2 linked regions of the Rattus norvegicus genome follow. The protein of the gene in region 1 purifies or fractionates together with the protein of each later gene. This does not show direct contact. Links are inferred from orthologs where the notes say so. Each region holds a gene or a part of one and is shown in the gene's direction. Other genes may lie near its edges.

What was found.
Region 2: the proteins of Acaa2 (region 1) and Pgd fractionate together in Homo sapiens (co-fractionation; 3 studies listed by BioGRID). This does not show direct contact. The link is inferred for Rattus norvegicus from reciprocal best matches to the Homo sapiens genes ACAA2 and PGD.

What each region holds. Positions count from the first base shown.
Region 1 is NC_086036.1:70,630,146-70,633,957, forward strand, and holds part of Acaa2 (3-ketoacyl-CoA thiolase, mitochondrial), read left to right. Parts: intron 1-1,406; coding exon 1,407-1,535; intron 1,536-2,320; coding exon 2,321-2,437; intron 2,438-3,812. UniProt on the Homo sapiens protein: In the production of energy from fats, this is one of the enzymes that catalyzes the last step of the mitochondrial beta-oxidation pathway, an aerobic process breaking down fatty acids into acetyl-CoA.
Region 2 is NC_086023.1:164,878,993-164,883,431, reverse strand, and holds the start of Pgd (6-phosphogluconate dehydrogenase, decarboxylating), read left to right. Parts: upstream 1-1,402; 5' UTR 1,403-1,492; coding exon 1,493-1,500; intron 1,501-1,992; coding exon 1,993-2,068; intron 2,069-2,880; coding exon 2,881-3,060; intron 3,061-4,439. UniProt on the Homo sapiens protein: Catalyzes the oxidative decarboxylation of 6-phosphogluconate to ribulose 5-phosphate and CO(2), with concomitant reduction of NADP to NADPH.

The sequences.
Region 1 (3,812 bases):
CCCGCGGAGAAGAGAAAACGAAAAGGAAAGTGAGTCTCAGGGAAACAGCAGCGAAAGTAAGTGCCTGGTTTGGGTGCCTCGTGCAGGAGAGCCACAGAGAGCACGCAGAGGGAGGAATATATTGATACATTGTAAAGGTCTGAAGAATTAGTCTTCGTTCAGCCGGACTCAGTTAGTCTATTTGGATAATCCAAATTGCGCTGCCCCTGCCTCTACAAAAGACATGCAAAATCCATTTGCAGATGACTCCTCCCACCTGAAGGACACAGGTGTGGCCACACCGAAGCCCGTGCTGCCCAGAAACTGTAGTGTCCCCAGTCCAGCCCAGGTCTCCCTACTTGCAGCCCAGCCTACTTCCTAGTGCCTCAAATCACTACATGTGTTTTTCTTTTGTAAAAATTACTCATTTAGGATCTAGAGACATGGCTCGGTGGGTAAAGTGCCTGCCAGAATTTGGATCCCCAGAAGCTTATGAGAATGCTAGGCGAGTGTGGTGGCCTGCTCAGGTCCTGGGAGGCAGAGGCAGGCTCCCCTGAGCAAACTGGCTGCTTAGACTAACCAAGTCAGTGAGCTCTGAGGAAATAGAAGCTACCACAGCAGATAAGGTGGACATGGATGGCAAAAGATACCCTTCGTCAACTTCTGGTCCCTTCACGAGTACACACGTGCACATACACATGTGTACCCACACGTGCAAAGACACACACACACGTACACATATATCACACACATGTACATATTCAAATAAACTAGCTCATTATTCATAAATAGGTAAATACATACAATAAGATATTTTAAGAGACCTACAAAAGAATACCCACTGACTAAAATCTTCAGTGCCATTGGTTTGTAAAATCAGATGATTTCCCCTAAACAATGAAATAGTCACCACATTGACTGATGCCCTCTTCCGATTTCCTTCCCCTTCCATCCAGCATTCTAAACCACTAACCCATAAATGTGCAAAATATGCTGAATTTAATTTGGAAAAATTTCAAACCTCTACAAAAGAATAATGTAGCAAACACTTTACTGCCGTGGACCAGTCCTTCATGGGTTACTGAATTTATCTGATCCTTTCCAATAATAAAGGGTATTATATACTGCCCATGTGTATGTGGCTTGTGTGTGAGTACGCGTGTGTGTGTATGTGCACACGCGCGTGTGTGTGTGTGCACACGCATGTGTGCATGTGTGCATGTGTTTGCCCAAGACCAGAGGTTGACATTGAGGTGTCATCCCTCCACTTGATGTTTTGAGCCAGAGTCTCACTGTGTCTGGAGCTCACTGGCGAGACTGGCTACAAAAAAAAAAAAAAAAAGCATCTCCACATCTTTTTTGTTTCCTCGTCGTTTTCGATTGCTGTTGCTGCCTTTCTTATGAAGTGAATTCTTTGTCCTGACCAGAGCTCTTCAGATGCGGCGTACCTGGCAAGGCATGTGGGTTTACGAGTGGGAGTCCCGACGGAGACTGGGGCCCTCACCCTCAACAGACTCTGTGGCTCTGGTTTCCAGTCCATCGTGAGCGGATGTCAGGTAAGGACAGCCTCCTTACCTACCCTCTGAGTGGGCCGATAGTTATTTGAAGAACTGCTCCCCCTTGATAGGGAGTTTGATTCCTCGGTGCCTCCAGGTAATTAACCCAGACATAGTGTAATGGGTGAGCTATTTTCACACTGGTCTCTGTGGCAACATACTTTAAAAGAGGCTCCATGCCCTCCCAGAATTAACTTTAAACACAGTGCCAGCCTCCAGGAAGTTCATTGCTTGTATCTTTTCCGAGAGTTAGAAAGAAAGAGGTGGGAAAATGAAGTGGATCTCTTTATGAGTCTCCTAGTTTACCAGTTCCATTACTAAGACTGCCCCCCCATGCAGTTTTTGTGACTTTTAGATTGATGTGCCCTTTATTGTATGTTTAAGCCAGAGATTAGCATCTCTCTGGGTTTCCCAGATTCTTACTAAAGTAAGAATTACTATACTTAGAGCTGGGTGTGGCTCAGAGTTTAGGAGGCTGAGGTGAAGGCTTGCTACCCATCCCCAGCCAAGGTGAGCTACAGAATGAGACCCTGACGAAGAATAGGCAAAACAGGTAAGGCATGCTACTCCGGCACACGCAGGGAGGGCTGTTCACCCTACCCGCCCGTGTCTTTAAGTAGATTCTTTTACATCAGCCCTTCAGCAGCGTTATACATTTCTTTTTAGGTTACTGTAAATTAAGACCCAGTATTTGTTTAAATCACCACTAACTCATAAAGTCTTCGTATTTCTCAACTCGTACTCTGGATACAGTAGAAGGAATTGTGTTGTCTGCTTTTCAACAGGAAATCTGCTCGAAAGACGCTGAGGTCGTCTTATGTGGAGGAACCGAGAGCATGAGCCAGTCCCCCTACTCTGTCAGAAATGTGCGCTTCGGAACCAAATTTGGGTTAGATCTCAAGGTTTGGACCTTTAACTTTCTTTTCTTTTTTTTTTTTTTTCTTTTTTTTTTTTTCGGAGCTGGGGACCAAACCCAGGGCCTTGCGCTTGTTAGGCAAGCGCTCTACCACTGAGCTAAATCCCCAACTGGACCTTTAACTTTCTTAAATTATATGTTTATATAAATAATTTTCTATTTATATAAATTCTTCAATGTATATAAATAATTTTAATAACGTAACTTTTTAAGGGAGAAAAGAGTAATCTTGAACCCAGCTCTGTTCATGGAATACCACCAAGACTTGCATGGTTTAAAATTTACAGGCTATCAAAACTCATTAGTTTTAGTGTTTGAATCCACACAGGATTATACTTCACATGTCAAAGAAAACATAGGGAATGCGGAGGAAGAAGAGAAATAGATTCGTGAGAGATCTTAGTGACAGGACTTTTGCTGTGGATTGTGGGAGTTCAGCTTCTGGGGCTGTGTCTGCTGACTAGGTTTCGTCGTTATAGAAAATGCTGCATGTGCATACATCTATTTGATCAACTGTCCAGAAAATAGCCTGACCCACCACCCGTGAGAGCTGTCCGGTGAGAGCTGTCCGTAGGAACAGCATCTGTGAGGAAGGAGGATAGTGCATTGCCCTACTCACAGGAAAGGGCTAATGGCGTCCTCTGTTTCTCAGCATGATCCAGAGGCTGGTGACGGCTCAGTAAGAGCGCCTGCTGTGCAAACAGGAGGACCTGAGGCCAGGTCCCCAGCACCCACATACAAAGGTGGGCGTGGCTGTACTGATCTCTAACCTGGTGTTGGGGAATGGAGACAGGCAGATCCCTGGAATACTCTGGCAAGCCCCCCTAGCTAAAACAGAGCCCCCACTTCAGTGAGAGACCTGTCTTAAAGGCATAAAGTAGAAGGCAGTAGGGAAAGCCGTCCGAAGTCCTCTTCTGGCCTCTGTTTGTGCACACACCTCCTCACACTCACATACACAAGACGCATACCACACACGAATGCACACGATAAAAATAATGTAAATGAAGAGTTGTTTTGTAGAAAGAGAACCTTGTAATAGGTTCACCCACTGTCTCACAAGGTCTTTTGGAAACGAAGAAAACGAGACCTTAGAGAGCTCAGGTATTTCAGACACTGTATGTACTTAAAAACTCTCTGCTAAGACAGCAACATGGGAGTGTGGGCAGCGTCAAGGGGGACATCACTCCCAGGTGATGCCTGTCACTCTCGTCTATGCCTCAGTGACTGTCTCTGGTATTCTCAGTCTAATATTAACAAACAGAGCCACCCGCACCTGTCACTGAAGGGCGGGCAGGGCTGGAAAAGCTGGACACTGCTCTTCCCTCCAGACCACACAGCGGTTTGCTTAAAGGGGCTGCAGA
Region 2 (4,439 bases), on another chromosome or scaffold:
AGCTCTGAAAAAAAAGAAAAAAAAAAATCTTCCAGGGGAAGCTCTACCTGGTACTCCCTTGTTCTGGAAATAATGGTCTGACCAGCTCAGAGCTAAGGCAAATTTGAGGGAGGAGTGGGGACATCAGGTACCTATCAGAAAGACAGAAAAGAGAGAGAGAGAGAGAGAGAGAGAGAGAGAGAGAGAGAGACAGAGACAGAGACAGAGACAGAGACAGAGACAGAGACAGACAGAGAGAAACAGAAAGTCATTTAGGGCAGGGCAAGGGATGTGGCTCAAGGGCAAAGCACTAGCCTATAATGCTCAAAACGTACGGTTTGATTCATAATACTGGAGTGAGAAAAAAAAATCCAAGAAGCTGGTACAAACCAATCTTTTCATTTGACATCAAGTATTATGCCTATGTGTGCAAAACGTACAAAAGATAAAGGGAATTCATTGAAGGTCATGATAAACACTCGTAGGGAGAGAGAGGGGTTTAGATGCAACACACCAACGCCTGAGTCTGAGTGGGAAAGTAAATTGAAACTAAAAGGTGTTGGACCAGCAGGCAAAACAGCACTCCAGACCTACTCCGGAGCCAGAAACTCAGTATTTACAATGTAGTGGGGCTGAGGAAACAGGGTAGAGATGAGTACTTGTGTTCCACTACATTTACAATAAATAACTTTATTCCAGTTTTGTTACCAGGTGATTCGACGCCCTCTTCTTGACCTCCCGAGCACCAACCACGCACGAGGTACACGGACATACATGCAGGCAAACACATACACATAAAATAAATAATTACGAAAACCAAAAAACCCTCGAGCCTCCCCTCCGTTCTTCTTTTTCTCATTCTGTGCGTGTGGGCGCTCGCGCCACTGCTGCAGTGGAGATCAGAAGCCAACTTTGTGGAATGGGATTTACTTCCACCCGCGTGGCTCACTTCTTGGGCCTTAGTGTGCACTGTTGTTTCTCGATCTGCAGAAATGGTGCACACTGACCACTTTGGGTTCCCACAGGTAGGACAGACTTGATTCTTGTCTCAGAGTTGAAACAGGGATCAAGCGCGCCTGTGGGCTTGGTAAATTGTAATGTGTGGTCTAACCGGAGTTACAGCATTAGCGATACACCAAACCCAGAGTCTTCTCTTTCATGGCGGAGCTGCAGACCCGAGCTCCCGCACCGGCGAGAGAGATCGTGTCCTGGTTCCGTTACAACACTTACAAAATCCCTTTAAATGCTCCTCTCCTGCTCAAGGTGCCATCGACTACTCGGCGCTCTACAGATCTGGCCCCGGGGGTGGGCGGGTCCGTTTGCCCTCAGGTGGTATAACAGGCGCTGCAGAGAGCCAGTAGGGTGTGGGCATCGCCCCACCTCTGGCTTCTGATTGGCCGGTGTCTCAGTAAGCCTCTTGAGGCGCCGGGAGCCGGAGTTCACAGCACTTTCTCCGGAGCGCTCAGTCTTTTCGTGTTTCTTCCTCCTCGGATCTGCTCTGTCTACCGCCGCCATGGCCCAGTGAGTGACCCACACGCGCAGTTGGGCCGGGGAGACTTCCGGAGCTGAGCGTGGTGATGTCGGGGCTCTACTCAGTCGTATCCCTGCTCTCCTCAATCCCGGGGGTCGCCTGGGTCTCCTTGCTCAGCCCTGACCCCTGCACCTCAGGATCCCCGCCTTGGGCAGCGCAAACTCGGCCGCCCCTTCTTGGGCTTGCGGCTGCGAGGGAGTCGAGGGAAGGAATCCGCTCTGTGTGGGGTACGGCCCACGCCCCTTCTGCTGGCCAGGCCATCAGGAATTACGGGGCAGGGGCAGGGCATTAGTGGCTTCGTGTGCCCGGACGCCCTTTAAAAGGAACTTCCTTGGAACAGTGAGGTGCAGGGTGCGGCCGATCCCAGGTGTATGTGGTGCGTGCACAGAAGAAAAGGGTGCAGGCTACCTGTCCTCCTAAAAGCGACCAACTAACACTAATATCTTTTCTTTGTTTTTTTTTTTTTCCTTCTGGCATTTCAGAGCTGACATTGCACTGATTGGACTGGCTGTCATGGGCCAGAACTTAATTTTGAACATGAATGATCATGGGTTTGTGGTAAGTACTGAGGACACGTCGCCTTCCCCTTGCGATTGGTCATTTGTTTTTCAGAGAATCTCAAGGGATCTGATGCAGCTTCTCCCTCAGTAAGCCCTGTTGTTGCTTACTGGTCTTTGTAGAAGAATTTCTGCTTTAGTTGTGCTGTCTCTGTAGTTAAAGGAAGAGCCTCTTTGGATAGAAGTAAATATAAAAGCAGTGGTTCTCAACATTACGGTTTATAACACTAGCAGAATTACAGTTATGGAGTAGTTACAAAAATAGTTTTATGATTGGGGGGGGTCATCACGATGTGCGATGTCTGTTAAACGGTTGCAGCATTAGGAAGGCCGGAGAACCACAGATGGAAAGGACCCGGATCCTGGAGGCTCTAGCTCAGTTGACTAGCAAGACTTGGGGTAAGTGAAGATGAGAGTTTTCATTTTCTGTGCATCTCATCTCCCAGTGTTGCTACCCTGGGGACTCAGCGTCCTCCCATCTCAGCCTTCTGAGTCCAGGGCTAGAGGATCCTCCTGCTAATGGGCTCTGAATGTCCTTTCTAAATAGTAGCATGTCTTAGGTGCCAGGATTACCAGGGATAAAGGACCGGGCAGTAGTGACAGGCTCAACTTGATAAGCAACAAGTGGCAAAGGGCCTTTCCCTCTGTTCTCTGCTGTGACAGAACTTTGCAGGGCACTTTCATCTGGCACTTAAAAAGAGAAGGCAGGTCAGCTCTCTAGAATTGGACAGAATAGACCTCTCTCTGTTGCTGGATCTGCCACCTGAGGGTCAGGTGTGTGCCGGGTCCTCTGACAGGCCTTTTGTCCTCCAGGTCTGTGCTTTCAATAGGACCGTCTCCAAAGTTGATGACTTCTTGGCCAAGGAGGCGAAAGGAACCAAAGTGATTGGTGCTAAGTCCTTAAAGGACATGGTCTCCAAGCTGAAGAAGCCCCGCCGGGTCATACTGCTCGTGAAGGCTGGGCAAGCAGTGGATGATTTCATCGAGAAACTAGTAAGGCCAGCTCCGTTCTCAGATGCCGCTGACAACTCAGAGCTTGTGTCCGTCCCTCCCTCTCCCTGTCTCACTTCTGCCATGTTGATTTTCACTTTCTGGGTACAAAGTGACCCGCTCTGATAAAATGCTTAAATGTTTCAGTCTTGGCTGGCTCGACTGGCACTTATGGAATAGTATTTTGGTCTTAGTTTTTCAAGGCAGGGTTTCTCTGTATAGCCTAGGCCGTCCTGAAACTCGCCCTGTAGATAGACCAAGCTGGCCTCAAACTCACAGAGATCCATCCGCCTGCCTCCACCTCCTGACTGCTGGGATTAAAGGCGAGGGGTACCAGCACTACCAAGCTATGTTTTTCTAGAAAGCTTTTATTTTATTTTTTTTCATTTTATTTTATACGAATGAGTGTTTTGCCTGAGTGTGTAACTGCACCATATACAGTTCCTGGGGAGGACAGAAGAGAGTCAGACAGATTCCTTGGAATTGGAGTTTATAGTCAATTGTGAGCTGCCATGTGGTTGCTGGGAATTGAACTCAGGTCCTCTGCAAAAGCAGCCAGTGCTCTTAACCCTTGAGCCATCTCACTAGCTCCTGTTTTAAAACCAAACCAAGGGGCTGGGGATTTAGCTCAGTGGTAGAGCGCTTACCTAGGAAGCACAAGGCCCTGGGTTCGGTCCCCAGCTCCGAAAAAAAGAACCAAAAAAAAAAACAAAAAAAAAAAAACAAACCAAACCAAACCACAGTTTTATTTATTTAGTATTTGTGGTGGGGCAAGCATGACACCTCGTATGTGGAAGTCACAGGGACTTTTCTGTGGGAGTTGGTCCTCTACCTCCACCATATGGTTATGGAAAGAACTTAGGCTTGGTGGCAGGGGCCTCTACCTGCTGAGCTTTCCCACTGACCCAAGGGTTTATTTTTATTACTATAGCGTGAGGTCATGGGAGCATGCAAGTGCAGGTCAGAGGACAACTATGTGGAGTCAGTTCTCTTCAGCCTTTGCTCTGGTCCCCAAGTTCTTCAAGCTTGGGACACCAGGCTTGTCCAACAACTGCCTCCCACACTGAGCCAGCCAGCCATCTTGCTGGCCCACAATGGTATACTCTTGGGTGGTCATAATTCTAGGACGCTGAGGACATTTCAGTCAGAGTTCGTGAAGAGTAATAGCATTTTGAGCAGTAGTCATCTATTAAAGTCTGTTTTTATTGGACAGTCTGTGGGTCCTGGTGTGTGTGCCCTGTGTTCCCATTGTGGTCCCCCTGGCTCCGGTGCTCATTGTGGAGCCTCAGTGCACCGTAGGCCACACCCCGCTGCTTCTGTTTTACTTGTTTTATTTTTTTCCTTTATTTTTGAGATAGCGTGTTACTGTGTTGTTGTGGGTG